4 linked regions of the Arabidopsis thaliana genome follow. The protein of the gene in region 1 interacts with the protein of each later gene in a pairwise test. Each region holds a gene or a part of one and is shown in the gene's direction. Other genes may lie near its edges. The genes, in order: CLV2, CNGC5, RXW8 and AT5G15240.

The links.
Region 2: the proteins of CLV2 (region 1) and CNGC5 interact in a protein complementation assay, tested with the Arabidopsis thaliana proteins (one large-scale study listed by BioGRID).
Region 3: the proteins of CLV2 (region 1) and RXW8 interact in a protein complementation assay, tested with the Arabidopsis thaliana proteins (one large-scale study listed by BioGRID).
Region 4: the proteins of CLV2 (region 1) and AT5G15240 interact in a protein complementation assay, tested with the Arabidopsis thaliana proteins (one large-scale study listed by BioGRID).

Annotation. Positions count from the first base shown.
Region 1 is NC_003070.9:24,285,230-24,289,860, forward strand, and holds CLV2 (Leucine-rich repeat (LRR) family protein), read left to right. Parts: upstream 1-1,512; 5' UTR 1,513-1,713; coding exon 1,714-3,876; 3' UTR 3,877-4,100; downstream 4,101-4,631. Other genes in the region: AT1G65370 (TRAF-like family protein), read right to left, coding at 1-268, 365-470. UniProt on the Arabidopsis thaliana protein: Involved in the perception of CLV3 and CLV3-like (CLE) peptides, that act as extracellular signals regulating meristems maintenance. Required for the sensing of the root CLE peptides (e.g.
Region 2 is NC_003076.8:23,454,638-23,461,137, forward strand, and holds CNGC5 (cyclic nucleotide gated channel 5), read left to right. Parts: upstream 1-1,927; 5' UTR 1,928-2,029; exon of another isoform or gene 2,030-2,260; intron 2,261-2,378; 5' UTR 2,379-2,478; coding exon 2,479-2,507; intron 2,508-2,686; coding exon 2,687-3,269; intron 3,270-3,430; coding exon 3,431-3,643; intron 3,644-4,034; coding exon 4,035-4,345; intron 4,346-4,485; coding exon 4,486-4,597; intron 4,598-4,735; coding exon 4,736-4,972; intron 4,973-5,133; coding exon 5,134-5,802; 3' UTR 5,803-5,984; downstream 5,985-6,500. Other genes in the region: APO2 (APO RNA-binding protein (DUF794)), read left to right, coding at 53-80, 183-301, 448-800, 886-1,717; AT5G57950 (26S proteasome regulatory subunit), read left to right, coding at 6,041-6,268, 6,354-6,414. UniProt on the Arabidopsis thaliana protein: Probable cyclic nucleotide-gated ion channel.
Region 3 is NC_003070.9:21,730,653-21,738,574, forward strand, and holds the start of RXW8 (GDSL-like lipase/acylhydrolase superfamily protein), read left to right. Parts: upstream 1-1,913; 5' UTR 1,914-2,151; intron 2,152-2,765; exon of another isoform or gene 2,766-2,802; 5' UTR 2,803-2,890; coding exon 2,891-3,171; exon of another isoform or gene 3,172-3,268; coding exon 3,269-3,415; intron 3,416-3,518; coding exon 3,519-3,582; intron 3,583-3,706; coding exon 3,707-3,916; intron 3,917-4,545; coding exon 4,546-4,740; intron 4,741-5,165; coding exon 5,166-5,464; intron 5,465-5,685; coding exon 5,686-5,962; intron 5,963-6,288; coding exon 6,289-6,564; intron 6,565-6,858; coding exon 6,859-7,092; intron 7,093-7,177; coding exon 7,178-7,355; intron 7,356-7,433; coding exon 7,434-7,513; 3' UTR 7,514-7,922. Other genes in the region: AT1G58525 (GDSL-like lipase/acylhydrolase superfamily protein), read left to right, coding at 1-41, 144-399, 520-692. UniProt on the Arabidopsis thaliana protein: Acts as an osmosensitive calcium-permeable cation channel.
Region 4 is NC_003076.8:4,945,695-4,950,970, forward strand, and holds AT5G15240 (Transmembrane amino acid transporter family protein), read left to right. Parts: upstream 1-1,882; 5' UTR 1,883-2,067; coding exon 2,068-2,209; intron 2,210-2,880; exon of another isoform or gene 2,881-3,301; coding exon 3,302-3,912; intron 3,913-3,998; coding exon 3,999-4,517; 3' UTR 4,518-4,716; downstream 4,717-5,276. Other genes in the region: GASA4 (GAST1 protein homolog 4), read left to right, coding at 150-331; FTSH6 (FTSH protease 6), read right to left, coding at 4,717-5,064, 5,138-5,276.

The DNA of each region.
Region 1 (4,631 bases):
CAATTCTTTCCTCCCATTGCAAAGGTTTTAGATATGCAATCATTCTGTTTCAGAACAGAGAAATCACGAATGCTCCAAGAGAATTTGTGAAAAGGGAGATTCTCATCAACAGGGACGGGTGATGAAGCAATCTTCACATGAGCACCAAACTCACATGGTTCTCCTTCCACGATAAATCCCTTTGCAGGGTCAGTGAATGTTTCAAGCGACATAGCTTTTGGCAATCCCCAAACCGTTTTAGAAGAACTGAAACGCTTAACTTCAACATCTACATGTTTACACGTATACACACACATTACGATTCATTCATTCATATATACATACGAGAGAAAAAGAGAGATAATAAGGATTTGAGCATACGAACCTTGGATTGAGAGGTACTTGTTGTCTTTCTTGTTAAAGACAAAGAAAGAGAGATAATCAAACACATCAATGGGTGGTGTTGTGGATGAGAGACATTCCACATACATAGACACAAAGCCCTTTCCATTGTCCTCTTCGTTTCCTTTTGGGTAAACAACCAATCTCCTGATTTTTACAAAAAAGGCAACATTTCTTAGTTATATATGCTTGTAGTGAAGAAAGATGTGAAAGTCTGACAAGAGAACAAGACGAAGGAGGAGTCTTTCTCCAAGTCTTCAACATTGCAGAATCTGATGCATATGAACCCATTTTCTCTACAAAATGTTGCAACCCTAGAGAGCAAAACAAAACATACCCATAATCAGAAATGATCTGACGAAAATCGAGTTACAATACACAAGAGAACATTTTTTTTAGAATTCTCAGATATTAAAAATGACACAGAAAGCTTTATGCTTTTTCCTCTTAAAAGACTAAACAAGTTGAAATCTAGAGAAAGAACTGACCAACCTGAGACAACGAGAGAGACTTGAGAGATTTCTTCGGCACTTACTATTAGATCTAGGGTTTAGATACCATTTATATAGAGAAAGTTTTAGAGTTGCACAAAACATAAATTAATGTGTTAGAATGGGCCTAAAGCTACAAAGCTGGCCTGGTTTTGTTTTAAATTGTTGGTTTCATGGACATTTTCGACATCTTCGAACATGTTATTTTTTGAGACTATGCAAACTTGAAGCTCTTTACTCGAGTTGAAATCGTATGACTTATAGTGAAATTGTACATTTGGTTTCGATTTTTCTTTTACACTCTTTCTTCTTTGAGCCGGTAAATTTGGAATTTTTCTTCATAGTGGAATCATATGCTGTTTTTTTTTTTTATAGTAAACGTTACAAGAATGAATGGTAACTTTATCCAAAAAAAAAGAATCATATTATTTTGAAATGATTTTAAGTAAATTCTAGGTTCAATAACATAAGATTTGAGACTAAATTTAAAATTTCTTAGTAAAATATATGATTTTTTTATAAATACCTATAAAATTAGTAATTAACAATACGGATTACGTACTGAATCAAACCCTTTGTATTTTGTTTTTCCTAGAAATAAGTGTAGATTTTTGGAATTTTGCATTAATTAATCACTTCTTGGGTCTGAAAGGCTAAAACAAAAGGAACCGAAAGAGAATGTTCTCTCTGTCTTTATCTTCCACTTCCACTTCCAGGTCGCGTTGCTTCACTCTCCATTGCAAAGAGAGGTCTCTGCGATTTCTGCAACTCACCCCTGAAACCTTCTTAATTTACTTCAACTGCCGCTATACCTAAAAACTTCATCTTTCTCCTCTGAGCTATGATAAAGATTGCAGATTTCACTCTCTTCTTCTTTATCTTCGTCTTCTCTCCCTCGTTGCCTCTAGCTCAATCTCAGCTTCCCGATCTCGACCCACAAGACAAAGCTTCTTTATTGATATTCAGAGTTTCGATTCACGACCTAAATCGAAGCTTATCGACATGGTACGGCTCATCGTGTTCTAACTGGACAGGTCTAGCTTGTCAGAATCCGACCGGAAAAGTTCTCTCCCTCACTTTATCCGGTCTGAATCTCTCCAGTCAGATTCACCCATCTCTTTGTAAGCTCTCTTCTCTTCAAAGCTTGGACCTTTCTCACAACAACTTCTCTGGAAACATTCCTTCTTGCTTCGGTTCGTTGCGTAATCTTAGGACACTTAATCTTAGTCGGAATAGATTCGTTGGTTCGATACCCGCCACATTTGTAAGTCTTAAGGAGCTTAGAGAAGTTGTTCTAAGTGAGAATAGAGATTTAGGCGGTGTGGTCCCTCATTGGTTTGGTAATTTCTCAATGAATCTTGAGAGAGTTGATTTTAGTTTCTGCTCGTTTGTTGGAGAACTACCTGAGAGTTTACTGTATTTGAAGTCTCTCAAGTACTTGAATCTTGAGAGCAATAACATGACTGGTACACTCAGAGATTTTCAGCAGCCATTGGTGGTTCTTAATCTTGCTTCAAATCAGTTTTCCGGTACGCTACCTTGTTTCTACGCCTCTCGTCCGTCTCTTAGTATTCTGAATATAGCTGAGAACTCTCTGGTTGGTGGATTACCTTCTTGTTTGGGTTCTTTAAAAGAGCTGAGTCATTTGAATCTATCTTTCAATGGCTTCAACTACGAGATATCTCCTAGGCTTATGTTTTCAGAGAAGCTTGTGATGTTGGACTTGAGTCACAACGGGTTTTCAGGTCGTCTTCCTAGTAGAATCTCGGAAACAACTGAGAAATTGGGTTTGGTTCTTCTTGACCTCTCTCACAATAGCTTTTCTGGTGATATACCGTTGAGGATCACAGAGTTGAAGAGTTTACAAGCATTGCGTCTCTCTCACAATCTTTTAACTGGAGATATTCCTGCTAGAATTGGTAATCTGACATATCTCCAGGTCATTGATCTTTCCCACAACGCGTTAACCGGCTCAATACCTCTCAACATTGTTGGTTGCTTTCAGTTACTTGCTCTGATGATAAGTAACAACAATCTCTCTGGCGAAATACAACCCGAGCTTGATGCGTTGGATAGTCTAAAGATACTGGACATAAGCAACAACCATATATCCGGTGAGATCCCGCTTACTTTAGCTGGTCTGAAGTCTCTAGAGATTGTGGATATAAGTTCCAACAACCTCTCGGGGAACCTTAATGAAGCCATTACCAAATGGTCCAACCTCAAGTATCTTTCTCTTGCCCGGAACAAGTTTAGTGGAACACTTCCTTCTTGGTTGTTCAAGTTTGACAAAATCCAAATGATTGACTACTCCAGCAACAGATTCTCTTGGTTCATACCAGACGATAACTTAAACAGCACACGCTTCAAAGATTTTCAGACCGGTGGAGGTGAAGGATTTGCTGAGCCACCAGGAAAAGTAGAGATCAAAATATCAGCAGCTGTTGTTGCTAAAGATGAATTAAGTTTCAGCTACAATCTATTGTCTATGGTTGGGATCGATCTTTCTGACAATCTATTACATGGAGAGATCCCAGAAGCTTTGTTCAGACAGAAGAATATTGAGTACTTGAACTTGTCCTACAACTTCCTTGAAGGTCAGCTTCCACGTCTAGAGAAGCTGCCAAGGTTAAAGGCCTTAGATCTTTCACACAACTCTCTGTCAGGTCAAGTCATTGGAAACATCTCAGCTCCTCCAGGACTAACCCTACTGAACCTATCGCACAACTGTTTCTCTGGTATCATTACCGAGAAAGAAGGGCTCGGGAAGTTTCCAGGGGCGTTGGCCGGAAATCCGGAACTGTGTGTGGAAACTCCCGGAAGCAAGTGTGACCCGGCAAACATTGATGCATCACAAGAGGAAATATATCAAAACGAATTGGTGGAAGGACCGATATCTATTTGGATATTCTGCTTAAGTGCGTTTATTAGCTTCGATTTTGGAGTGTTAGGTATCTTTTGCTCAGCTCGTGCTCGTAGTTATATTCTTCAGACCAAAGCTTAACTCCAGAGACTGATTGATGTATATTCAGTTGTAACACATGCATGTATGTTGTTGGTCTGAGCTGTGAAGTGGAAATGCTCGCTTTTAACTAAAGTCTCTCCCAAATGTTGTTACTTGTGTATATAGTTTGACCGGTTAACCTTTACATGAACCGTATTGGGTTCTTGTTCTGTTTGTGATTCAAGAAGTGATTAGACTCAATAATCTAGTACTATCTATCTAAACACATCGAAACTCGAGTCAGTGAGTAGTGGTGTTCATTTCGGAGATTAGGACAGGAAATGGTGGGTAATGATCAGGAACATACAATTTGGGTGTTTAAATGTATAATCCACGAGTACAAAAAATGATAATCGAAAATCAAACCGAACGAAATGAATAGAAAAAAACAGAGATATGGAGATCAATTAAAGTTTAGTAACAGATCTAACTAGCTAGAACCAATTTAATTTCTAACAATCTCGGTTTCAACTGAAATATGGTTTCGGAGAACCTGTGATAACTTTGCCAAAACCATTCACTAAACCATAACCAGGTTAATACTTATCTGAGTCAGAACAAGAATTCCGAAGGTTTGAAGAGCTGACCAAAGAACAAAACGGTCCCGGTTTTGTCTTCTCGGATAAGGAAAATAAATGGATGATCAGCCACAAAATCTATCTTCTTAGGAGGTGGCCCCATATCAAGAGCACAACCGTCATCTTCTACATCAGCAGTTGCAGCCGCAGCTTCAGCACCTTCTTCATCGATCTCGA
Region 2 (6,500 bases), on another chromosome or scaffold:
CTCTCTTCCTTATCCTCCATCTTCCAATGGTTTAATCCAGCAACTGTCGACGATGTCGATAACGTACTCCGCTATTTCCTGTAAGTTTCTTCCTCACTGTGTGTCGAATCCGTCCTCAATGCTCAATTTTATCCATTTATTGTGAGACTGTGATTGATTTTGGTTTCCGTTGTTTTATCCAGCTAGTACAGTTTCTGGGTTTTCACCAAAAAGTGTACCTTTTGCTATTCATAGCGTAACCAGGAGGCAATTTCTTAATCCCAACACGTTTTATAGATTTGGGTTCTCTCCTTCTCTTCAGGTCAGATTCCTTTACTAGTCAGTATCATCCAATTCTCCAGACTCTGCTTCGTTGTTGTTTTGGTTCTTAGAATTAGACCACACTTCGTTGCTTCCCTTTGAAGTAGAGAGTCAATGTTTACTGTTATGTGCGGATATGTTGTGCAGGGAAGTAGCATTGAGTTTAGCCTTCAGTTGAATTCAAGAGTTGTGCTTAGTAAAGAGCGTCGATCTCTGCCATTAGTTGTGAGAAATGATCGTCCTCAGAATGAAGACTTACCTAAGCAGTACACAAGGCGAGAGAAGAAACCTTTCCCAGTCCCTATTGTGGACCTGAGACGAGCTGCGAGGGAGAGAGTCAAGAACAACAAAGACAAACCTAAGAGACCTCTACCTCCGCCTAAAAATGGTATGGTTGTGAAGAGCCTTGTGCCTCTTGCTTATAAAGTATACAATGCAAGAATCAGATTGATCAACAATCTCCACCGGCTTATGAAAGTTGTTCGTGTTAATGCTTGTGGGTAAAAATTCTCTTCTTCTTCTTGTTTCATTTTTGGTCTGTTTTGAGTATGGCCTTTTTTTGATGTTGTATGATTGGTCTCTTAGGTGGTGCAATGAGATTCATGTTGGACCTTATGGGCATCCATTTAAGTCGTGTAAAGGTCCCAATACTTCCCAAAGGAAAGGTCTTCATGAATGGACTAACTCGGTTATTGAGGACGTTATTGTTCCTCTTGAAGCCTATCACCTTTTTGACCGCCTTGGCAAGCGTATCCGTCATGATGAAAGATTCTCGATTCCCCGAGTTCCTGCTGTAGTTGAGCTCTGCATTCAGGGCGGCGTTGAAATACCCGAATTTCCAGCAAAAAGGAGAAGAAAACCGATTATCCGCATTGGCAAAAGCGAGTTTGTTGATGCAGATGAAACTGAATTGCCTGATCCAGAGCCTCAGCCTCCTCCAGTGCCATTGTTAACTGAGTTACCTGTCTCAGAGATCACTCCCCCATCTAGCGAAGAAGAAACAGTCTCCTTAGCCGAAGAAACATTACAGGCCTGGGAAGAAATGAGAGCAGGAGCCAAAAAGCTGATGAGGATGTACAGGGTTAGGGTCTGTGGGTACTGTCCAGAGGTTCACGTAGGTCCAACGGGACACAAGGCCCAGAACTGTGGTGCATTCAAGCACCAACAGCGGAATGGCCAGCATGGTTGGCAATCTGCAGTACTTGACGACTTGATACCGCCAAGATATGTTTGGCATGTTCCTGATGTGAATGGGCCACCGATGCAGCGAGAGCTACGAAGCTTCTACGGGCAAGCACCTGCTGTTGTGGAGATATGTGCTCAGGCTGGCGCTGTTGTACCTGAGCATTATAGAGCTACAATGAGACTGGAGGTTGGAATTCCTTCGAGTGTGAAAGAAGCTGAGATGGTTGTTTGATATGTAGAAGACCTTGTAAACTTCTTCTTGTACAAAATCCTCCATTCCACCTTGTGTTGTATAATAATATCACAGCCCAGGTCTTTTTGACTTTTGAAGGACAAAAAAAACAATCCACGCTAATCCTATTATCAAGGGTAAAAATGTCATTTGCTTCGTTTTCATCTTTTCTCGTTGCCATTTTCTTTTTTTTGTCTGTGTCAAGTCGATACCACTTGTCTGGTAGCTTTATACCCACTTTCATCTTTTTCATGTTCGTAGTTGTTCCTCTGGTTATCCTCATCAACGGGACCCTTGAAACCGTGTAGCCATGTAAGCCTTTGTCTTTGTCTCTTTCTCTTGCTTCAGCAAGTTCACGTCTGCTCTATTTCTAATTTTGTTCTAAGATTCAATTCTCCTTTTTTCTATGCGAGAAATTTAAGATTGGTTCTCTAGCTCTACCTCTTTAAATTTGTTACTATGTGTCGGTGTCCATCATTCATCAAATTTTTTCCTTTTTTATCCATTTGAGTTGATGTAATGATGTTGCTTCGCTTCATACTGGTCAGAGTTAGTCTAATCTTCATTTTAGCACAACTTGACAACTTCATATGGTTATGACTTATTTTTACTTGGGTCTTTCAAAGGTTAAGTATTTTAGTCTTATTTTGGGATGATGCAGCTTGCTTAATGATTAGAGTCTTAAAGCTGTGCTCTTTCTTCATCGATTTGAGCAAGTGATCTTGGAAGGCTCTTGAGTTCTGAATTCCTTGTAAGCAATCATGGCAGGGAAAAGAGAAAACTTTGTGAGGTTAGTGCTGCATCCTTTTGTTTTAATACAAAGATCTGAAGTTTGAATGTGAGAAACGTATTGATTTGGCAATGGTTGTTTCTGATTTGTTTCCTTATGAAAGTATAGTGTGATTGTACTGAACTATAGCTTGTTGGTGCATAGTAATCTGAAAGTGGTGTTGTTCATACCTTTTATAGGGTGGATGATTTGGACTCTAGGTTACCATCATCATCTGTAGCCTTCCAACAGAACTACGCCTCCAATTTCAGTGGACAACTTCATCCTATTCATGCAAGCAATGAAACTTCTAGATCCTTCAAGAAAGGTATCCAGAAGGGTTCCAAAGGGCTTAAGTCGATCGGACGTTCACTTGGTTTCGGTGTTTATCGAGCAGTGTTCCCAGAAGACCTTAAAGTATCTGAAAAGAAGATATTTGATCCTCAGGATAAATTCCTTTTGTATTGCAATAAATTATTCGTTGCGTCATGTATTCTTTCAGTGTTTGTGGACCCTTTTTTCTTCTATCTTCCTGTGATTAATGCTGAGTCCAAGTGCCTGGGTATTGACAGAAAACTGGCTATCACAGCAAGTACATTGCGGACTTTTATCGATGTGTTTTATCTCGCTCACATGGCTCTCCAGCTTAGGACTGCTTATATTGCACCTTCATCACGGGTCTTTGGGCGAGGTGAACTCGTGATTGATCCTGCACAGATAGCAAAGAGATATCTACAACGTTGGTTTATTATTGACTTTCTCTCAGTACTTCCTCTCCCTCAGGTTGGTTAATATAAGTTTTGATCATTTCAGTAAATTGTGTGTTGGAAAACATCATTGCTTAATTTGTTGAAAGGGTGCAGTAGCCAGTAGTTGGTGATCAGACATCTCTGTCAAGCGCTTTCTAGTTCTAGATTTACAGTACTCATTTTGTGTATGTGCAGATTGTAGTTTGGAGGTTCTTGCAAAGTTCAAATGGGTCGGATGTATTGGCTACAAAGCAGGCCTTGCTTTTCATTGTTTTGGTCCAGTATATACCGCGATTCCTACGTGTCTTACCCTTGACGTCAGAATTGAAAAGGACAGCAGGTGTCTTTGCTGAAACGGCTTGGGCTGGTGCCGCTTATTATCTGCTTTTATATATGCTTGCAAGTCATGTGAGTTTATATACCTTTTTCATTTTAAGACGTTGCTTGTACTATTCAATGCTTGCCCATTCACCATGAGTTATGTGACTGTGGCACCAAAAGTGCAAAACAAGGAAATATTTGCATATCCGTTTCACTGTTATGAACTTATGTTCAAATGTTTAGTTTCCTAAGACATGTAAAGGAGCTTATTGAGCTTTCTGGTTAAGCCGTCTATGCTTACCTTTGATGTTCTATGCAACCTTTCGTTTTATCTTAGTTGATGTTCATGCCTCATGGGATCACAAATGTCAAGTTTCTTATGACGAGCAACTCTGATTGTATAGCTTATTTACTCTTCAATAATAGTATTGACTTGGTAAGTGCTATTTTGATTGAGCCACTGTTTCGTATCTTGCAGATAGTTGGAGCTTTTTGGTACCTTTTAGCCTTAGAACGTAACGACGCCTGCTGGCAGGAGGCCTGTATAGATGCAGGGAATTGCAGCACAGATTTCTTGTACTGTGGCAATCAAAACATGGACGGCTATGCTGTTTGGAACAGAGCCAAGGAATCTGTTCTTAAGTCCAAGTGCCGAGCTGACCTCGATGATAATAATCCTCCATTTGACTTTGGGATTTATACACAGGCTTTATCGTCTGGAATTGTCTCGTCCCAAAACTTCATCGTAAAATATTGTTATTGTTTGTGGTGGGGCCTTCAGAACTTGAGGTAACCATGTTCTATCACTATTCAGTCGAAAGACTATTGCTTTGATCTTACCAATTCTCACTAAACTCGGCTCCTTTATCAAAGTTATGCGTCTATGAGTTTCAGATATTCATATAGTACTTCTCATTGTTGCACCACAGTACACTTGGACAAGGGCTTGAAACCAGTACATACCCAATGGAGATTATATTTTCCATATCTCTCGCCATTTCTGGGTTGATCCTCTTTGCTCTTCTCATTGGAAACATGCAGGTGAGTAATTATGGTGCAACCTTAGCTACTTTCGTGATCATTAGAAATTTCTTGTAAGCTCTTTCAATGGAAGCATCATGCATAATTTGTTTCCTCTGCATAATGACTATCTAACAACATTTTGCAATCTTGGGACAGACATATCTCCAATCTCTTACCATCCGGCTTGAAGAAATGAGAGTAAAGAGGCGTGATTCAGAACAATGGATGCATCACAGAATGTTACCACAAGATCTTAGGGAGCGTGTGAGGCGCTATGACCAGTATAAATGGTTGGAGACACGTGGTGTAGATGAAGAGTATCTCGTTCAGAATCTTCCCAAGGATCTCCGGAGAGACATCAAGCGGCATCTCTGTCTGGCTTTAGTGCGAAGGGTAAGTTCTCCCCGCTGTTCCTTATTCAAGCTTCTCACATAGATCACACACCCTTTTGAACATCTAGGACCCATTGAATAACAGTCGGCTCATAACTAAAACGAGCTCTTGACCATCGACAAGCTAGCTTGGTTCATGATACGTTTTTACCATAATATTAGGTTCCATTGTTTAAGAGCATGGACGACAAGCTGCTGGATGCGATCTGTATGCGGCTGAAACCATGCTTGTTCACAGAGAGTACCTACTTAGTGCGGGAAGGAGATCCTGTAGACGAGATGCTATTCATAATACGTGGTCGCCTCGAGAGTGTGACAACAGATGGAGGCAGGAGCGGTTTCTTCAACCGCAGTCTCCTGAAAGAAGGAGAATTCTGCGGGGAAGAGCTTCTGACATGGGCATTGGATCCAAAATCAGGTGTAAATCTCCCGTCTTCCACGAGGACCGTGAAAGCTCTGACAGAAGTAGAGGCGTTTGCGCTGACCTCAGAGGAGCTGAAGTTTGTAGCAAGCCAGTTCCGGCGCTTACATAGCAGGCAAGTGCAGCACACATTCAGGTTTTACTCTCACCAATGGAGGACTTGGGCTGCTTGTTTCATCCAGGCTGCCTGGCGTAGATACTGCAAGAGGAAGAAAATGGAAGAGGCAGAAGCCGAGGCCGCGGCTGTGTCCAGCTCAACCGCTGGACCTTCATACTCCATTGGGGCTGCATTTCTTGCCACTAAGTTTGCGGCTAATGCGCTTCGCACCATTCACAGGAACCGGAACACAAAGATTAGGGATTTGGTGAAGCTGCAGAAGCCTCCTGAGCCTGATTTCACTGCTGACTGATGATTGAGCAGCTTGTAGACATTATTGTTTATAATTTATGGGAATCATTACGGTTGAGATAAACAAATATTGCTTGGCTTTAAAGCTGCTTGTGCTGTCTGTAAAATTAATATATGAAGTGTAGAAACAAAGAGATTATAGCCGTTGGATTTAATAAATGTACGGTTAGGATCATATGCCGGTTAAAGAATGGGTCTATTGGGCCTTTTAATGAAGCCCACAATATATTCACGGTGACATGCTCCGGTCCCAAGGTAGAGAGAAGTTGCGATTGATTTCGGTGAAAGAATTAAGAATCGATCGGACTTGGAGAAGAGAAGAGAAGATGGTTGGCGCGAATCTGAAAGCGGAGACGATGGCTCTAATGGACAAGAGAACAGCCATGGAGACGGAGATGAACTCTATTGTCGAACGTCTCTGCAATCCCGGTGGTCCTGGTCTCTCCGGCAATCTCATCGACTCGGAGGTACTGTATCTGCGTCCTCACTCTTCTCTAATCTTAACCGAAAATTCTGCTTAATTTTCTCCTTTGATTCGTTTGCTTATGGCAGGGATTTCCTCGGGAAGATATTGACATTCCCATGGTGAGAACTGAGCGCCGTCGTCTTGCTGGTGATTTCTCTTTTCTTGTGCTGAATTAGTCCATAGTTAGGGTGAGACTACAACTCCAAGGTTAGTTTAAACTTAGGAAACATAGC
Region 3 (7,922 bases), 2.6 Mb from region 1:
ATGCCAATTTCTTGGCTGACTCTGCTGTCCATTTCGTGAGAGTAAGTATTTTATTCGTAGTTATATATAATAATACATAAACTAATCAATAATATATTGTTATATCCACTAACTATTTTATCTTATCTATAACTGATAATTAGGAATTACATAAGCTTGGAGCTCGAAAAATTGGAGTGTTTAGTGCAGTCCCCGTTGGTTGTGTTCCATTACAAAGAACAGTTTTTGGAGGTTTTTTTACAAGAGGATGTAATGAACCTCTAAACAACATGGCAAAACAATTCAACGCAAGACTTTCTCCAGCATTAGATTCTTTAGATAAAGAGTTGGATGGTGTTATCCTTTACATTAATGTTTATGATACTCTTTTTGACATGATCCAACACCCTAAAAAATACGGTAAGTTCATCTAACAGATTTATCTATATAGAAACTATATATTATAATTCATTTTTATTGTCGAACTAAATTTTATTCCAATTATCTCATTTCTTTTAGGTTTTGACGTAGCCGATAAAGGATGTTGCGGTAAAGGACTGCTCACAATATCCTATTTATGTAACTCATTGAACCCATTTACGTGTTCTAATTCTTCATCATACATATTTTGGGATAGCTATCATCCATCTGAAAGAGCTTATCAAGTTATCGTCGACAATTTACTCGATAAATATTTGAGCAAAGTCTATTGATGTTGAGGAATCAAAGAAAATTGTATCTTTTTGTTTCAAATTTTTTTTCATCTTAATTCATGTCTCACTATGTATTCATATCTTAAATTTTAAATATTCATTCTTTTTCTATAATAATATTTGGTGGGATAAAGATAAATATTTTCAACGGAAAAATATACAATCAAATAGTGGAATTTTATACGTTTTAGACTATTTTATTCCTTTTGTAACATACTAGTATAATAATACCCAAAATAGTATACATATGTTACTTTCATAAGAAAAAAAAAAAAAAACTATTCTACAGTACTTAGGCCTGGGCAAAAGAACCGCTAACCGATTAACCGAACCGAGCCGAACCGAAAAACATGGTTCGGTTCGGGTTTGGATAGCTTAAAATAACCGGCTGGATATTATATGTTTTAGATTTCGGTTTCGGTTTTGGTTAGGTTAGTAACCGATAACCAAAGGATAACCAAAGCATATATGTATGATAGATAATATATCACATATATTGTATGTATTGACACTTAACTATGTTCTTCTCTTTATTAGTTTGCAAGTTGAATTTTGTGAGTTGTGAATCAGGTATTTTAATATTATGGAGAGTATGGACCATATTTGCATCTTTGTGAGTTGTGAATATATCTTTTTTTACGTACGTTCTATATCGGTTATTGGTCAATTTTTTTTTTTTGTTTCGGTTTTTAGTCGGTTATTTCGGTTTTGGTTTATTTATGGTTACCAAGTTTAATATCCGAACCGAACCGAACCGAAAGATATCCGAATCGAACCGAACCAAAATTCCTCAAATATCCAAAATGGTTCTTATATTACTATAACCGAAATAACCGAAACCATGCGCAACCGAACCGAAACCGAATGGTTAACCGAATGTCCAGGCCTAGTAGTACTATATTGAATAAAACTTTTATGTCATACTCATGCATATCTCACTTGCAACAAGAAACACATGAATCCAAAATCCATGATTCCTTCTTCACCTTTCCTTTAATTTTTCAATAGTCATAACAGTTTTAACTAACACTTGAGCGAACGTTGTGAAAAAAAACGCACCCACACGTGTCGCTATCTTACCCATTCTATCACAAAACCAACGGTCATAATAAATTCGACCACAGAGTAGTCGCTCTCACATAGTATCAAATCTTGGAGCATCAACCATTTTATAACCGACACGTGGCCTAATCGTCGCTCCCTTCTTCACCGGCCACACAACGTGGCCTAATCATTTGTATTTAATTTTAATTATTTGCATGTTTTCATTTTAAGTTATGATTTGAATGAACTGGAAATGCGAACTCTTCGCGGAATTGGAATTTTAAAAGCAATTCGGTGTTTCATTTTTTTTTTTTTCTCTTCTCTTCTCTGCGAATTCTTAGGGTTTCTGAATCTTCTGGTTCTCTTCGCAATCGAATTCTCTGAAGTCAAACCAAAGTTTTTGGTATTTCTCTCTGTAAGTCATGTTTTTTTTTTTTTTTCTGAAATCTCTTCGATTTGGTTTATTCTGTTATACAACTTCGTGTTGTATCTGTAATTTTTCTGACGAATTGGATTTGATGATTTTGCTTCGATTGATTTCCCTGGGAATCGAAATTGTGTTTGTTTCACTGGATTTAGTGGAATGCGATTCTCTGATTCATTGTTTGTTCTACGTTTCCGCGTTTTCATCTATCGTAGTTCTACTTTATTGTTTAGGCACCATTGAAATTGCGAATCGTAATTTTGATTAACGGAAAACAGAAATTGATAACTTGAAATTGAATCTCAGTGCATTATGTTGTTTGTTATCTTTGGGTCGTATGTAACCAACTTATCTTCCTCTGCAAGTTTAGGTACTGATTATGATTTGATTCATGTTTCCAATTTTTCGTATCTGCAATGCAAATGCAGAAAGTTTTGGTTAGTGTTAAGATAGTTTGGATTCAACTTACACGTTTGATCGACGATTGTTTATCAGTCTCTTTCGCGGTGTTTCGTTAGCCTATCTGTTTTTTTAAGCATTGGATTTCAGGACTTTTGTTATTTCGATGTTCTTATCTTTTTTCTTTTTGTGATGTTTTCTTACAGTTTCTCCTGCCAATCTAAGAACCTCCTGTATTGCTAGGTTGGCCATCTTGTGACGAGACGACGTACTTATGAAGTTCTTCTCTTCCTGCGATTTTTAGTCAGGAAGGAGTTGAACTAAGATTAAGATGGAGATATCAGCTCTTCTTACATCTGCTGGAATTAATATTTCGATATGCATAGTTCTTTTATCACTTTACTCCATACTTAGGAAACAGCCAGCCAATTACTGTGTATATTTTGGCCGAAGGCTTGTTTGTGGTGGTGCTAGACGTTATGATCCTTTTTGGTATGAGAGGTTTGTGCCGTCTCCAAGTTGGCTTGTGAAAGCATGGGAGACTAGTGAAGACGAGTTATTAGCTGCTGCTGGTCTTGATGCTGTCGTCTTCCTTAGGATGGTCATTTTCAGGTTACTGAAAATAAACTCTCCCAGATGCTTTTTCTTTGTTCTGCTTCTTGGTTTTGTTCTGTAGTGTTTGTTTTACTTTGTGTTTTTTGTTCTGCAGCATTCGTATTTTCTTTATAGTTGCTGTTATTTGCATTGCCTTTGTGCTGCCTGTTAATTATTATGGGCAACCGATGGTGCATAAGGAAATCCATTTGGAGTCATCCGAAGTGTTTACAATTGAAAATCTTAAAGAAGGCTCAAAATGGTAAATGTTTTTTTTTATCTCTACCTATGTCTCTTTGAAAGATGTTACTCTATGCAGAGTGTGTAAAGTGCTGATTTTTTCTCATTACATTTATTGCTCTCAGGCTGTGGGTTCATTGTCTTGCACTGTACATTATAACCTCAGCGGCATGTCTTCTGCTCTACTTTGTGAGGACCTCGTACCTTAGTTTATCTCATGCATACAGCATACTTGAATACTTACTCTTGGTTCCTCCATGTATCTTCTTATTAGTTTATTTCCCAACCTTTTGACATTTTTTTTATACTGTAGGAGTATAGCACCATAGCTAAAATGAGGCTTGGGCATATTACTGGATGTGCCTCAAAGCCAAGTCAATTTACCGTTCTTATCCGTGCTATTCCATGGTCTCCTGAGCAATCTTACAGCGACACGCTGAGCAAATTCTTCACAAACTACTACTCGTCCAGCTACGTGTCCCACCAAATGGTCTACCATAATGGCATCATTCAGAGACTGCTGGTACGTATATTTCTTGGAACAGTCATTTTTAACTAAACTATTACGCAGGCCACCTTCCTCTTGCTTTACTTGTCAGATTAAAACCGTCACCTAGATTTATTTTAAAAAACTGTTATTGCTCTTTGTGAAAATGATTTGAAGTTTTGAACATTTTGCCAGCTTTAAGTGTTACTTCTTATTGCAGTATTCATTTTGGTTGATAGCTTTCGTAGTTGGTGTAAATTTCATGGTTCTGAATTGTTATGTGCTGCTTGGATGTTATAAAGGGTTATTTGATGACTAGATGCAGAGATTGATGATATTACATAGCACAGTAGATATAATAATGAAATTTAGTTCGTGTATCAGCTAAAAGGGGTACAGTTTAGATGCATATTCTGGGAATATGAAAGGACCTTCTAGAGCAACTCTGTCTGTATCCTACTGCTGGGCTTTCATTCTACTGCTTTCTGATACTGTGGTTATTTCAGTATCACTACATCAGTTTCTCATTTATTACCTGTCAGCATGTTGTAGAAATTGGGTAAATGATATGTGGATGGTTTGTGCTTGTGATAAAGTATTTGAAATTTAATGTTCTATGTCAGATAAAAAGTGTGACGTTTAGATTATTCCAATTTCTGTCTCAGCGTGATGCGGAGAGGATGTGCCAGACTCTAAAACACGTTTCTCCTGAAATCAATTGTAAACCGAGTTTAAGGCCATGCACCTTTTGTGGAGGACCTACAGCCACAAGTTCTTTTCATATCCTATCGAATGAGGCAGACAGTGTGAAAGGAATGGAGCTTGGTGAGTTGACTATGACTACGACTACGACAGAGCAAGTAAGGAATTCTTCTGTCTTTCCCTGATCTAGGCATAGGATGTGGATATCTGTTATTTCTTCTGTCCAGTGGAGAGGATCGTTTCAACTAACATTACAAACTGATTTAGAAGTTTCCACTGCATTTCTTCTCAGTTTTTCACCTGGTCCTGACAGATAAAGACTTCTTTTACTTTAATGGGATACAAATTGAACTTTGGAAGTGGCAGTCTGATTGTCTGATACTGCATAGACTTGTATAGTTTTGTTTACTCGGTACAGTTTTAAACCATCATTAATGATTTGTAGCACCATATTCGACAATTCAGTATAGTTAACTAAGATTTTTCACTTTTGTGGTAGCGATTAGAAGTAGCAATGCTTGATTTTAATTAGTCACAATATAGAATAGCTTACTAAAGCCACAAAATTTTCTGCGTTTTGCAGGAACGTTCAGCTGCTTTTGTGTTTTTTAAGACTCGCTATGATGCTCTTGTTGTTTCGGAGGTTCTACAATCATCAAATCCTATGTTATGGGTGACAGACTTAGCCCCAGAACCTCATGATGTGTACTGGAAGAATCTCAACATTCCTTATCGACAACTTTGGATACGGAAAATAGCAACCCTTGTTGGTGCAGTTGCTTTCATGTTTGTGTTTCTTATTCCCGTTACCTTCATTCAAGGGCTGACTCAACTAGTGCAGCTGTCTCACGCATTTCCTTTTCTAAGAGGCATCTTGAGCAAGTGAGTGCCCTGCTGGTTCCTTACGCATGTATATATATATGGTTTTGTTTCTTCTGGACATGATATTAGAATTGGCGTTAAAAAGTAGGCGGAACTCCGGTGCAGTATAGAACACACGAGCCTTCTCTATAGCTTTCAAACCATTGGAGAAATCAAAATTTATGTTCTTGATTTGTTTTATCATCTTTCAAGTTAATCGGGCCACCAAAACCATTTTGCAGGAACTTTATAAACCAGGTCATCACAGGGTACTTACCCAGTGTGATCTTGATTCTATTTTTCTATGCCGTTCCACCATTGATGATGTATTTTTCGGCCTTGGAGGGATGTATTTCACGGAGTATAAGGAAGAAGAGTGCTTGCATCAAAGTCTTATATTTTACCATTTGGAATGTGTTCTTCGTGAATATATTATCAGGGTCTGTTATCAGGCAACTGAATGTCTTTTCTAGTGTCAGAGACATACCTGCACAACTTGCTAGAGCAGTGCCAACACAGGTAATTTACCCATAGTCCTTTTACATTTCAGAGCAAAAGTTTGAATTTTGCTAATGTTCAGGTTTCTACAGTCTCTGAACATTAGCTAGGTTACATTTTGCCAAGATCTTGCAGCTTTCGGATTGGATATAGTGTTTTCTTGCGCTGGAACTTTAATAGTTTGTTCTTTTTCCTCGTTCCATGATAAAATTATATATCAGAGATATTAAAGCCCATTGGAGGAATTATTTGGGATTGAGCTTTTCTGGTTGCTTGTGTTTCATATTTATTAGGAAAAATGAAAATTGTATCATTGATTTTGAATATGGCTTTAACCATGTATGCAGGCTGGCTTCTTCATGACCTATTGTTTCACATCTGGTTGGGCCAGTTTGGCTTGTGAAATAATGCAGCCTATGGCTCTTATCTGGAATCTGGTAGCAAAAGTTGTTACCAAGAACGAGGATGAGTCATATGAAACACTTAGGTTCCCATACCACACCGAAATTCCTCGGCTGCTTTTGTTTGGGCTCCTGGGTTTCACCAATTCAGTCATAGCACCACTGATACTGCCGTTTTTGCTGATATACTTTTTCCTTGCATATCTCATATACAAAAATCAAGTAAGTGTGTTCTCTGATCTCTTGTACATAATATCACAGTTAATCTCTCCAAAAGCATCATAATGGACTTGTACCTAATTTGTGAAAGCTTAGTTACTTTGTGACCTGCATGTTTTAGATGGAAATTGGATTTGTGCTTTTCGGAATTTTGCTTCTGCAATGTTTATAGTCATGTACAATGTGATAAGAGCCATTAGTAGTGCCAAGCTCATGCATTGAGTAAAAAGAACTCTTGATATATATTTTTAAAGACAACCCTTTGTAGATGCTCAACAGAATTGTTTCTATTTGCAGATACTCAACGTGTATATTACGAAGTACGAAAGCGGTGGACAATACTGGCCTATTTTCCACAACACAACAATCTTTTCACTGATCTTGACACAGATTATAGCTTTGGGGTTTTTCGGATTAAAGCTATCAACAGTTGCTTCGGGTTTCACCATACCGTTAATTCTTCTCACGTTACTTTTTAGTGAGTATTGTCGGCAGAGGTTTGCGCCCATTTTCAACAAAAATCCTGCCCAGGTATATTAAATGTAACCAAAACCTTTGATGTTCCTACTGCAGTTTATGCGTCTTCTCGGTGCTTGATTGATGTGTTTCTTTTCAGGTTCTCATAGATATGGACAGAGCTGATGAAATATCAGGAAAGATGGAAGAGTTACATAAAAAATTGCATAATGTATACTCGCAGATACCATTACACTCTCAGAAATCATCGAGTAAAGCTGAATGTAGTAATCCTTTCAAAAAGCAGGAGTTACCAGATCCTGAAAAATTGAAGCCAGGTTTCGAGTTTATATCACTGTTTGTGTATGATTATAGATATCACTTGATTAGAGACTAATGAGATTTATATTTTTCAGAGGAGGGGGATGCGATAGCTAAAGAGTTATGGGGATTCCAAGGCAATGAATCTGGTCAAGAACATGACACTAAGTCCTGAGCATCTTTCTCCAAAGAAGATCGAACTTCACAAACGGAACTAGACAGATGTTTTTACTAGTGAAGTGCCTATGTGTTGGTTCAATCACAAAGTCTCCAACAAATCAGTGCATTAAGCACAAGAGTTCTCTCGTAGGCATGCTCAGCTGCAAAACCAATGTTACTGGGAATACTTTCACTCACTTGAAGAAAAGTAGATGTAAGTTTTTCTGGGATATTTGATAATTTCTTCAATGAAAATTCCTATACAAATTATATGGGGGAAACATGTACAGTCTTGTTGCCAAGATAAAAATGTACATCTTATAGTTACTGCAAGAAGAAATGGAACTTCTTTATAGAGCTCAGAGTATGAGAAACTAAAACTATCAATCTCTTTGATGAGATGGCCATTTTTCAGTTGTTCATCT
Region 4 (5,276 bases), on another chromosome or scaffold:
CATACAGTCAAAGCAACCCACTATCTTGAGACCCACAAAACAGTAAAAAAAAAAGCTAATGAATTTCCACTAGATTCTGTTGTTTTTATTAGTAATAAAAAATTTTTGAGTGTTAACATTTTGATATTGTTTGTATTTGAAACAACCAGAATGCCCATCGGAATGTGATAGGAGGTGTAAAAAGACACAGTACCACAAGGCTTGCATTACGTTCTGCAACAAATGCTGCAGGAAGTGTCTCTGTGTGCCTCCGGGTTACTATGGGAACAAACAAGTTTGCTCCTGCTACAACAACTGGAAAACTCAAGAGGGTGGACCAAAATGCCCTTGAAAAAATCTCCCTTCGTTCCCTTTTTATAATAAAAATTTTCAACTATAACTAAATTTCCTTTGATCAATGTTTTATCTACTTTATTCCTAATGTTGTAATGTTATGTCACTCCTTTTCGGATTTTGTTCTAAATCCTAAAAAAAATGAGAGTGGCCCTATGAATGATATTTTTCATGAATACTTGTGTTTCTAAAGATATTTTCCCATTCATCCACCAAAAAAAAAGATATTTTCCATTTCGAAAATAGTAATACTATAAAGGGTAAGGCAAACCAAATAATACAATTTAAAAAATTCCTGCGAAAGAAGTATGCATATGTAGAAAAGAGTGACATTGGGTCTCTCGGCCCAGTACTAAAAAGCCCATTATTGATTTTTCCAAGCTTTTTACAAAATCACGTGTTCTAACGCGATTGCTTTTTGCCGCAATCTTCTTTTATACAAGACTTGGGCTTTGGGCAGTTGGAAATAAATAACGACAACGATATTTTACAATCGGTGCAATGATATGAACCACAAACTTATAAACGTTTTACCCGTTCATTACCCTACGTATCAATAAATACTCTTAATAATGCCTTATATATTGACATTAATCGACAAGAAATATGAGGTTTGGAGTACAACTATAGTTATTAGCATTAACAACAAAGCTCAATTTAGCTCTCTTTGTTAGACATCTCACATGCATTTTGAATGGTGATCTTGAAGAAGATACTTTTTTTTTTTATCAACATGTGCATGCTATTTTTTCACAAGCACAACATGGGGAAATGGCCGGCAATGAGTATTCTTCTTTTCTAAAGAACTCATTTTGTAACCTATAAAAGTTTTTGGTTTCGATTTCTGAATGAAAACATATTGGATAACTGTAAAAAATTTGCAGTATGGTTTTAATAGTAACGAAAATATATAGATATATATGTCGATATTTTCATTATTGTTAGAACTACTCGGCACCTTGTAGAACATAACTGTAAACTAGCGTCAAGATATTGATTTACGTCAGATCAAGGCTATTCATACTTATCTACTCTTTAGGTCTGGGGATTCACTTGTCAACTATTTTTAACAAACGACAACAAAAAAATATGTGACGATTTTTCAAGTGCTCCAGTCTCGTCCAACAGATTATTGACATGATATACTACTTTGGACCATGTATTTTTATGAAAATTTGATCCCTCTTCAGTCTTCACCGAAAGAGGATTTGGTACTTGCATTCTCTCTATCACCTAAGTTAAACGCCCTAACATTAAAGTGGAAAACTTCGTGGAGTTTTATTTTCTCTCTTCCTACCAATTTTCTTATACAACTAACATTAAATTCTAGAACCACACAAATCGCAAATTATGGTAGATTTGTGTGTAAGTGGTTATAATTTTTTTCTATATAAAGAGTTGCACTTAAATTTCAATTAGTTTCTAAAAACCCCATCCACGAATATTTAATTGGTCAATAAACATTAAATAGAATTCCACTGCCACGCTAATATCGTGTAGATATCATATGTGCATGGATACTGCATAAAAATCAGCTCTAATAATTGATGTAATTTAAAAACATTGACCCTAGTAAATGTATTAACACTATATATATTGCCTTTTGAGGGTTTCTTTATTGTTTACTTCCAAGTTCCAACTTCTCTCTATCTATTTCCTTCGTCTCTCGATCTCTCCGTCTCTCTCTCTTTGTCTCTTCGATATCCAAAGAGCAGAGTCAAAGACTAAACAAGTATGAGCGAGGACAAAGATTACATGTCGGAGCCATTTATCGTTAAGAAGATTGATGATGAAGAATCATTGCTTGATGATTATAATCCACAGGGCAATACTTCTTTCTCCAAGACTTGTTTCCATGGCATTAACGCCTTATCAGGTTTAATTTCCTCTTCTTCTTCTTTTTTTTTTTTTCTATTTTCATTTTCGTGATTGATTTTTTCTTTTTGATTTATTCACCACTTCTTCTTATCTCCAAACTCCATAACTCACGGGGAAAGATCCAACTCTTAGCATGTCCACATATATGGATAGGATATATCTTAATTTTCAAAATAATCTAGAAAAAACTATAATTAGCTTTATTGTACTTAATTTCTATAGATGCATGTTTTTAACTCAAGCTTTTGACTTTATCTTGTATCATCTAGATTGGTGTGTATTTCAATCCTACATTTTGTTTCTTTACCTCCTAGTCTTGCCTCAGTTTTTTTAGTTATTTAATTTTTCTGTTGATAATTTATCATAACCAAGTTAAAACCAGTTCTACTTAGACTGAATTGTGTTTTTCTTCGTCTAGATTCAGTTTCATAGTCTTTGATAAACAATAGTGCTAAATAACCAAATCATTTTTGTTCTGACTATTAAAGGTTAGGATGGTTCCGTTTAACTGAATTTAACACTATAGTATTAACAATTCGGCAAAGTTTTCAATGACTATTGCTATTATTTATTCGCTAAATGTGGTAATGGCCTAATAATGGGTTTATCAAACTGGCCGCTATCGTTGTACTTAATTGTTTATATACCAAACTAGATACTTAGTTTATACTAAAAAAACTAATTATATACTGGAAACACGTCTGACCAAACTAGACCAAACTAGACCATATACGAACAAAAAACAGTCCATATAATTAAATAGAAAGAAACCAGCAATTCCAATTATCTTTCAGATATAAATACAACGTGTCACTGAACAAAACCTTAACACATTAACAACACGTCTTCCCTTTTCAATTTGTGTTCTTCTTCTTCTACAAGACTACAAACCACTTTGATAAAATCAAATCATATTATCTTATTGGTAACGAGACCACGAATATTTCTTTGCGTTTGTGTTTTCAATTAAAAACTGCGTTTGCGTTTTCATATATACAAAAAGAACGTTTGTAAATAGTTAACACAAAAAACGTTAATTAGCATATGCGTTAGGCTTGGACATTCTTCTGATCAACTCTTTTTTTTTTAGGTGTGGGTATATTATCGGTCCCTTATGCCTTAGCATCCGGAGGATGGCTAAGTTTGATCATACTTTTCACCGTAGCGATCACAACTTTCTACTGTGCCATTCTCATTAAGAGATGTATGGAAATGGATCCACTTCTTAGATCATACCCGGACATTGGCTACAAAGCCTTTGGAAACACAGGACGTGTTATCGTCTCCATCTTCATGAACCTCGAGCTTTACCTAGTTGCAACTAGTTTCTTGATCCTAGAAGGTGACAACCTTAACAAACTCTTCTCAAACGTTGGACTCAACTTCATGGGGCTTGAATTCCAAGGCAAGCAAATGTTCATCATCATGGTGGCTCTCATTATTCTTCCTTCGGTTTGGTTAGACAATATGAGGATTCTTTCTTATGTTTCCGCGAGTGGTGTCTTTGCTTCCGGGGTTATTCTTGCTTCTATCTTTTCGGTTGGAGCTTTTGAAGGCGTAGGGTTCAAGAACAATGACTCAGAGGTCTTTCGACTTAATGGAGTCGCTACTTCGGTGAGCTTATACGCGTTTTGTTATTGCGCTCATCCAGTTTTCCCAACTCTATACACTTCCATGAAGAACAAACGCCAATTCTCAAACGTAAGTTTTTTACATAACGGATCATTAGGTTATTCTTGACCAAAACTCACACTAATAATTTTGCATATTTTTTTTAACATTTTCAGGTTATGATTATATGTTTCACAATATGCACCTTCATATATGCATCAGTGGCGGTATTGGGTTACTTAATGTATGGATCAGATGTTGAATCACAGATCACTTTGAATCTTCCTACTGATAAGCTTAGTTCAAAAGTGGCGATATGGACTACATTGGTCAACCCAATAGCTAAGTTTGCTCTCATGGTTACACCTATTATTGACGCAATGAGAAGCCGGTTTTCTCGAGTTTTGCCTAATAAAAGAGCTTCTGGATTTTTGCTAAGTACAATACTAGTTACTAGCAATGTGATTGTGGCATTGCTTCTTCCGTTTTTTGGTGATCTTATGAGTCTTGTGGGAGCATTCTTGAGCGCATCCGCATCGGTTATATTGCCATGTTTATGTTACTTAAAGATCTCTGGGAAATATCAAAGACTCGGATTCGAAACATTGGTGCTCATCGGAATCACTCTAACCGGTATCGTGGTTGTGATAACCGGAACTTACCAAGCGGTCAAGGACATTTTTGGTCGATTTTGAAATCCCAATAGGTGAAGTTTAGCTTATAGAGTATTTGTTTAGGAAGATATTTGTACTACCAACAGTCCAATACCATAATTTGTTTTATTTGATTTTTTGTGACTTTCGTTAACGAAGTTTTTTTGAGTTATGTAATAATTTGGAATGAGAAAAATGTGAATACGTTAAATGAAGACATGAGTTGATCTAGGTGTCTGTATTAGACACTAATCAAGTCATTGATTCGAATTCTTACATCGCCATCGGTATTTAACGGTTGATCAGTATACTCAGACAGAATTGCTCGAAACTCGTCTCCCGTTAAGGTTTCTTTCTCCAACAAAACATCAACAAGCTTGTCTATAGCTTCTCTATTATTCCTCACGTGCTTTTTCGCAACCTCGTAAGCGTCACCGATTATTTTCTTCACGCAAGAATCAATATCCTCCGCAAGTTTCTCGGACATTGAGTTCCTCGCTAGCATCCGTAGAACCACATCGTTTTGCTTAACCGCTGGGTCGGTTAGTGCCCATGGACCGATTTCCGACATACCAAACATCGTCACCATCTGAACCATAAGAATAATTAGAAAATCCACCGTTTTTTTCCGGTTTATGAAAATTTTGTTTCAATTACTGTACCTGTCTTGCTATCTCAGTGACTTGCTGGAGATCACCGGCAGCGCCGGTGGTTATCTCCGGTTCTCCAAAAATTACATCTTCGGCGGCTCTGCCTCCGAGTCCTCCGACGATTCTAGCGAACAATTGCTGTTTAGACACC